2 linked regions of the Oryzias latipes genome follow. The protein of the gene in region 1 purifies or fractionates together with the protein of each later gene. This does not show direct contact. Links are inferred from orthologs where the notes say so. Each region holds a gene or a part of one and is shown in the gene's direction. Other genes may lie near its edges.

Region 1 (3,293 bases):
AAATCAGATTAGAAGTCTGTTGTGATTTAAAAAAAACGCCTTTTTGGTTGTATTTTGATCTTTTAATGCACCACAATGTCGTACATTGAAATGGAAATGAGGCTTTTCACAGCAATCGCCAGGTTTGTTCAAATAGATGAATCTATTACAAGTGTTGATGAATTGATCGTCCTGGCTCTGCCCGGAGGTCTTCTATGTGTGGACGTAAACATTTCTGCTGGGTGTGGAAAGCATCCCGACCTCCAGCCGGCTCTTTAAGGGGAAGTGAAGCGACTGACCTCCATAAAGACAGGAAGCTTCGTTTGGCTCGGCTGGTTGTTTTTAATCTGAAAACTGTGTCAAAACGACACAAACACAGTTTAAATTCTGTATTTTGAAGTCAGGACGTGTTGAAAAGATGTTTTGCTGTCATATTTACGCGTGGTCACCGTTTAACCTTATCGTCCCAAAGGGCCCATCACCCCACAGGGGACCGGCTTCCTGGCTCTGCAGTCCGTGGCAGGAGTCAAAGTAAGTCGAGCTAAAAAGTGTTTCCCGCTCCGCAGGTGAAAGCTAAACTCTCTGACGGGGTCTTCGTCTCCTTTCTTTGTTTGTCTGCAGGCCAACTTTCGCATCGCGGCCACAGGAGTGGTCCTGGATCTTGATAAATCTGTGACCATAGTGAAGAAGCTCAAACTGATTGGTTATCCCTACAAGATCTTCAAGAACACTTCCTTTGTTAAGGTGAGAAAGCAGATGTTTGTCCATCCTCTGATGGAGGAGCAGTTCTGTGTCCGACCTGTGGATCTTTCCTCGAACTCAAAGGAGAAACCAGCTCTGAAAGATGAAAACTGAGGCTTTTTGCTTCATTGAGTCTAAATAAACGGGTCAGATTGGACCCGACTTGATGTGCAGCAGCGGCAGAAGACGCTGATGCTCCTCGTCTCCTCTGGTCTTCAGGGGATGTTCAACACGGTGCTGGAGGTGGCGAAATTTGAAGGAGCTTCGGTGCGGACGGTTTCGGGGGTCAGAGGTCAGATAAAGAAGGCCCTGTCCACACCTCCGGGGGCTTTCAGAGCTACGTTTGAGGACCGCCTGCTCATGAGTGGTGAGTTTCCTGAAAGCTGAGGATGTTGACTGCAGCAGGTGGGCTCAAAGGAGGGATTCTTTTTAGTGTTTGAGGCCTTTTGTGTGGCGTGCGCCATCAGTAAGTTATCAGGTTACCGGCTTCCTTGAGGAGACGGTTTCTCCCAATCAGGATGGAGGATTGGGGTAACCTGGTTGATCAGGGAGGTTTCTCTCTCGGGGTGTGAGAAACCGCTGCACCCCTACGGTCGCCATGTTTTCCCCAGAAAGCATTCGAACGAAGTCCGTCTTTGTGCATTTGTGGTGCAGACATTGTGTTCCTGCGTTCCTGGTATCCGGTGTCGGTTCCTCAGCTCTACAACCCCATCACCTCCCTGCTGCTGCCGGTCGGCCAGAAGGACGGCTGGTCGGGGATGAGGACGCTGGGGCAGCTGAAGCTTGACCTGGGCATCCACAACAAGCCCAACCAAGACTCTCTCTACAAGGTACAGCAAACTGAAGTGGGATGCACTTCTTTGTATAAACCTCAGAGGCTTGAAAGTGATTTTCTTTTCAGGTCATCCACGGCGTTTGTAACCTCTACAATCACTTTTGCCTCCCTTTCTAGCCCGTGGTACGAGCCCCGAGGCATTTCAACCCCCTGCACATCCCCAAGGAGCTGCAGAAAGCCCTGCCCTTCAAGAGCAAACCCAAACAGCAGCAGGCGAAGGGAAAGACGCCCAGAGACCTGCAGAGGCCCAAAGTGATACGAGAACCCCACGAGAGGAAGGTGAGAAAGCTCGAGCTCATGACTGCATCAGCAGCAGGAATGAAGGTTCACCGTCAGTCCCATGAAGGGAGGACGCCCTCCCCACAACGCTTTTCGAGAAAAAGACAATGTTGTCCTGTAAATGTGACGGTGTCCTCTGGCGGCCCAACAGGTGGCGGCTCTGCTTCACGCTCTGCGCACCGTCCACAACCACAAGAGGAAGAAAGCCCACTCAGTGCAGCACGCCCGGCACAAAGAGTTCCTCCAGCAGAAGGAGAAGGACGAGGAGGCGAAGATGAAGAGACAGAAGGAGGCCCGCAAGAGACTTTACAGAGTCATGGGACAGACGGAGCAGAAGAAGCAGAGGTCCAGTCTGAAAGGAGAGCAGAAGGACTCGTGACCCCAGAGTTGACCCGAGCCTGACGGCCTTTCTGTAAATGCTTTCATGGCAAATGTTTGTGATGGTTGCTCCCTCTTTTAATAAAACTCTAGGTAATAAAGCTGGTCTGACTTTTGAAACATGGAGTTTAAAGGGTTACCGGTTCTGGAAAACCTTTTTTCCTTAAAGTCCCACACCTGCAGTTCATTACAATTTCACCTCTGAGTTGTAGGCGGAGCTATTGGTGCAGAGTGACCCTCCCCTTCCCGTCACCCATAACCGAGAGCTCTTTATTTGCACGCTCACTCTCCTACTAGCTTTCCGTCCCTCACACCTCTGACACATGTCTGTCGCAGGGCTCTATGGATACATTTGGAAAAATATCTGAATTACGTTTGAAGAGCTTTTTTGGTCTGTTAATTCAAAGAGTAAAACTTGTCATGTGAACCAATAGTGCTGCATTTTTTTGGAGTTCATGAGACAAAGTTATTAAAATAATATATAGAGGCTTGGAATATTTCAGTTTGTGTAATGATTTCAAAATAAAATAAATACAGGCTTCACTATTTGAATTTACTGACTATAAACTTTGAACTTCTTAAAGATTTTCTGTTTGATCCACCTGCATGAAGAGCGACTTTTATTTTGAAGGCTGAAGCCGTCTATGGAATAAACTTACAAATAAAAGCGAATTCAGGTCGGATTCCAGCTTAAGGAAATCTTAAAATACATATGTTTGACTAATATTATCATTGAAATTACAAAAATGTGTAGATATTTCGGGCATAGCTCAATGAATGTAAAAGGGAAACTTTTTTTTTTTTTTTAAATACAACGGAGGCTCTTGTTTTTTCTGTTTCCGGTCTGGGGCTCAGCTAGCTTCACAGAGTCCCATCATCTCGGGGGTCGATCAGAGGAGTCCAGAGGGGTTCGTCTGTGTCATTCATTTATCTGCTGTGTAGTGTCGGCTCATTCGCGTCGCCCCCCGTAGAATAATGTCGTCTCAGCATCACAGCGGTCTGTTTTCATTTCCGGCTAACGGACCTGTCACCTGCGCGTCGAATCGGAACAAATAGCTTAGCTAATGCTAATGCTGCTAGC
Region 2 (4,261 bases), on another chromosome or scaffold:
TAAAGGACTAGAAAATGTCTTCATCTTCCTAGACCAAACAAAAAAATGAATCCAAATGTGATTGACTGGCTGTGGTGCACTTTAACCACAGACTTCCTCTTTCACACAGCATAGAAGAACTGGCTGCTTTATCAGCAACGCTCCTCTGAAGGAACAAAAGTTCACAGTTAGTTATCTTTACGACCTGATAATCCACATCCAAGGTGGTTCTGAGGATAAGCTTCATGGCGAAATGCAGGCTTGTGTCCCTGCAGATGTTTGGAGTAAAAACATGACCCTGTCATGCAGACTAGTTTGACTTCAACCTGGGAGAAACATGTTAATTTTGCTCAATTTAAAGAGATAAGAAGTTCTGCAAAAAGAAAAAAAAGGAGTGGTACACTTTATCAGGACAGACCAGGAAACCAACCCCTGCTACTGCCAATTTAATTTAATTCAAACTTCATCTATGGTTTGGGATGAAACTGGATTAAATTAAATATTTTTACCTGTTTGTTGCTTGATGTTGGCCCTCAAAATATCCCCGCTGGAGATGTGCTTCACTCCAAAACTTTTGACGATGCGTGCAGACACCGTCCCCTTCCCGGAGCCCGGGGGTCCCATGATGACAGCACGAAGGATCCTCTGCGCGACCATTTCCCCTCGAATGGAACTTCGAGTTTAAATGAACGCAAATTGCGCATGTGCGGGGCGGGTTCCGGGATGCCTGGCTGGACCGGACCGAACCACGAACTGAAGTATTACGAACAGACTACGCAACAAAGGAGGGGACGTGTCTTGAGGAGCCGCTCTCTCCCTCCACTCTGTTTTCCCCCCCAGCCGTGGAGGAAGAGGAGGAGAAAGAGGTGGAGAAAGAAGATGAGGCTGGCAGCTAACTAACCCAGCTAGTGACAGACAGCATGTGCGCGCAAATCCCCTCCAGACGCCGTCCCGTCCCTCAGAAATAAGACATTTCCCCCAAAGTACCCAGTCATGCCGTCTGGGAAAGTGTTGGGCTTTATTGTCGATGAATTTGTTGTATAATATAGTTATATAATTGGTTTTCGGGCGGCAAAGCCCTCGCTGGTTGGCAAGGTGACGGTGATTAATCCCATGGCATCGACTTCTGTGCAATAGGGTTTCAGCTTGGCCGCTTAAAAGTTCTGAATGAATGTTTCCTTTCTCTCAAACCATGTCAATTTAAAAAAAATCTTAATTTGTTCAAATAAAGAATAATTTGTTAAGGGGAAACCCTTAGCCCTTATCGTTTAAAGAAGGGTTTTATCTCCAAATACGTCGTTTCTTACTTTTAAAATGTTAAAAGGAAGATAAATGTGTTTTTAACCGTCTTTGTCACCGTTTGGTATCACTGTGGCTTTAAGAAAAACTAAGGCTCCGCCTGTCTTGTTATAATGAATGGCCATATGTCAATGAGGCGAAGCGCTTAAGGAGAAAAAAAGGACCTTTTTGGCCTACTTGATATGCCGTACTCGCCCCTCCTATTGTTGCTTCCTGCACAAACACACGTGGATTCTCCTGCTGCCAAGCATAGAAACAACAATACAAATGGCAAACCAGGGACTCTCTTACGAGGGGTGCAATTTTTTAAGACAGCGGCTAGTTTTGTCAACACTTAGTGGGAAACGTGTCAGAATTAAGAACATACGATCTAAAGAGGACGACCCAGGGCTGCGCGGTAAGTTGCAGCTTGACTCTGCATGTGGCGTCGTAGTTAGCTTGGTGGCTAAGGGCTAGCTGTTACGCAGTTGGGAATCAGTGTTGTCACCGGGATTCTATAGTGGGATAAATGACTAGGAAGACTGTCAATTAAATAGAATTCATTTTTGGTCTTCCTATATATATTTTTTTAATTACAATATTGTCATAAATAATATTCTTTGATGTTTTCATAGCTTTATTTTGCAAACTTGTACGAAGAACATACAGATGAGTGTTCATATAACTAAGTAATTGGATAGTTTATTTTTAGTGTTTAGTAAAAGCTCAAATTTTCATTAATTTATTTTTTGGAATAGAAAACTTTTGATTTATTTTCTATTTTGATGATTTTTTTTATTCTTAATAACTAAAATATGCTGTTTTTCTTTTCCAGACTTTGAAGCAAGCTTCATCAGACTTCTTGATAAAGTGACCAATGGCTCAAGAATAGAAATTAATCAAACAGGTGAGTATTAATGTTTTGTTTTTGTTTTTTGTGTGGAAATATGCTGAATATGACTTTTGTGATTGTTTTTCCATTTGTCTACAATTATTGACTTTTCTAGGAACTGTGCTATCCTACCAGCCTGGATTGTTGTATGGCGGCTCTATAGAGCACGACTGCAATCCTCAACGCTCCATTGGATACTATCTTGAAGCTTTACTCATGTTGGCTCCTTTCATGAAGATGGCTCTGAAGGCAACTCTCAGAGGAGTTACTAACGACCCCAATGATCCAACGGTGACATAAATATTCTACTCTTTAAACCAAGTTTTTGTAAACAAAACAAAAAAAAAAACTGGGTCCTGTAGTCAATGTGTTTAAGTGAACTTTTCCCATGATCATATAGACTTTCCAGTCTGGGGTTTGCAACCTGACTTGATAGTATGTGAACATGACAGATGTCGGTGTTGGGCTGTGACAGTTAGTTGTGTTGGTTTACCTTCGTGGTTATTATTTGTCTTGTTTTGCAGATTGACCTGCTGAAGACCACGGCTGTCCCTCTGATGAAAAGATTTGGAATTGATGGGGAGGGATTTGATCTCAGGGTGAGTACATACTGGTAGACCAGTGATGAAGATAATTAAAAAGCTGGATTATTCTGTGTTAAGCACAGACACAGATGACTCTGGCCCACAACTACATGTATTTAATTTATATGTATTTTTTGGCTGTTACACCCTCAGGTGGTGAAAAGAGGGATGGCACCTGGTGGTGGAGGAGAGGTGGTTTTGTCTTGCCCCATCCGCAGAACTCTCAAACCGGTCCAGTTGACAGAGCAAGCCAAGATCAAGAGGATTAGAGGAGTGGCGTATCTTTGTCTAATTGTCCCTTTTTACATTTTTCATGCATAGAAATTTATTTAGATTAGCTGTCATTTTGATTTATAAAAAGTTAAAATACATGCAAATTATCCTCTTTATTATCACAATTTACATTTCTGACATCTATTGCTCTAATAGATGTTGCTCATTTAATTCTAAGTCTGTTTTCTTTAGTTATTTAGAATCAAGAATTTATATTATAACAGAGTAGACACAGGTAAATTCTTAAGTTCTTGGCCCATTGTACACAGTGAAACACAGAATCTCAGAAAGAAGTATCTGAATAGATTAGAATAAGAAGTAACGGTGCAGAAAAACACTTTTAAAGTCAAATCTAATACAAATCTAAGTCCTTGACTCAGAAGTTCAGATATTCTGTGCGAGTTTCTCCTCAGATGGCCAACAGGATTGTAGAGTCAACCAGGGCTGTCCTCAACCAGTTCATACCAGACATCTATATTTACACAGACCACATGAAAGGAGCAAACTCTGGCAAGTAGGTATCTCCATAAACTTTCCAGCACGCGGTATAGTGCTGAATCAAAAAGTAAGACATTAACAAAGTGTAACTGCAGGTCTCCAGGCTTTGGTTTGACACTTGTGGCCGAAACCCAGAATGGCTGCTTTCTCGGTGCGGAGATGTCTTCAACTCCACAGGGGCAAGGAGACCCCATACTGCCAGAAGACCTTGGCAGAAACTGTGCCAAGTTGCTCTTGGAAGAGATATACCGGGTAAGGACAGACTAATCTCTGAAAGCATCAACTTTCATATCAACGCTGTGGTTAGAAGGTTGTCCTTGAAGGGTAAAGAATGAATATTGTCTAGGTCCGTTTTCGTTCATTAAAAACATGCATGCCCATTTTGCCATTTAGGTTGACAGATGTGAATGCCAAATTGCTATAAAGATGCATTTTCTTCGTTTTTTCCTGTTCAATCCTTCTTTTCCTGGGCGCTCTCCAGTCCTTTTCCACTGATTTAAAGAGGCGTTTGCACAAAACTATTCATGCGATCATGTTTGTAATGCTTTAACTTAGAATAATAGGTTTGATTCAAAATCTACATGGATTTGACACAAATAGACTTTTCTCCATTATTTACCAGTTTGCACGCTTACTCATTTTATCGCTACAGGCAGGTTGAAGCTTATGTTGCTGAGCTACAAAACAAATTGCATTCAAAATTCCAAGCATGTGCTGCTGCATTTGGATAATGCAAAAAGGCTTTCTGTCCAAACTG

The links.
Region 2: the proteins of bms1 (region 1) and rcl1 purify together in Homo sapiens (co-immunoprecipitation; 4 studies listed by BioGRID and IntAct, with this or other methods). This does not show direct contact. The link is inferred for Oryzias latipes from reciprocal best matches to the Homo sapiens genes BMS1 and RCL1.

The regions. Positions count from the first base shown.
Region 1 is NC_019877.2:23,414,537-23,417,829, forward strand, and holds the end of bms1 (ribosome biogenesis protein BMS1 homolog), read left to right. Parts: intron 1-451; coding exon 452-510; intron 511-600; coding exon 601-723; intron 724-939; coding exon 940-1,087; intron 1,088-1,374; coding exon 1,375-1,550; intron 1,551-1,672; coding exon 1,673-1,834; intron 1,835-1,985; coding exon 1,986-2,213; 3' UTR 2,214-2,643; downstream 2,644-3,293. UniProt on the Homo sapiens protein: GTPase required for the synthesis of 40S ribosomal subunits and for processing of pre-ribosomal RNA (pre-rRNA) at sites A0, A1, and A2.
Region 2 is NC_019870.2:15,888,432-15,892,692, forward strand, and holds the start of rcl1 (RNA 3'-terminal phosphate cyclase-like protein), read left to right. Parts: upstream 1-1,456; 5' UTR 1,457-1,545; coding exon 1,546-1,675; intron 1,676-2,092; coding exon 2,093-2,164; intron 2,165-2,264; coding exon 2,265-2,440; intron 2,441-2,673; coding exon 2,674-2,748; intron 2,749-2,886; coding exon 2,887-3,011; intron 3,012-3,394; coding exon 3,395-3,520; intron 3,521-3,599; coding exon 3,600-3,756; intron 3,757-4,261. Other genes in the region: ak3 (GTP:AMP phosphotransferase AK3, mitochondrial), read right to left, coding at 489-636. UniProt on the Homo sapiens protein: As part of the small subunit (SSU) processome, it plays a role in 40S-ribosomal-subunit biogenesis in the early pre-rRNA processing steps at sites A0, A1 and A2 that are required for proper maturation of the 18S RNA.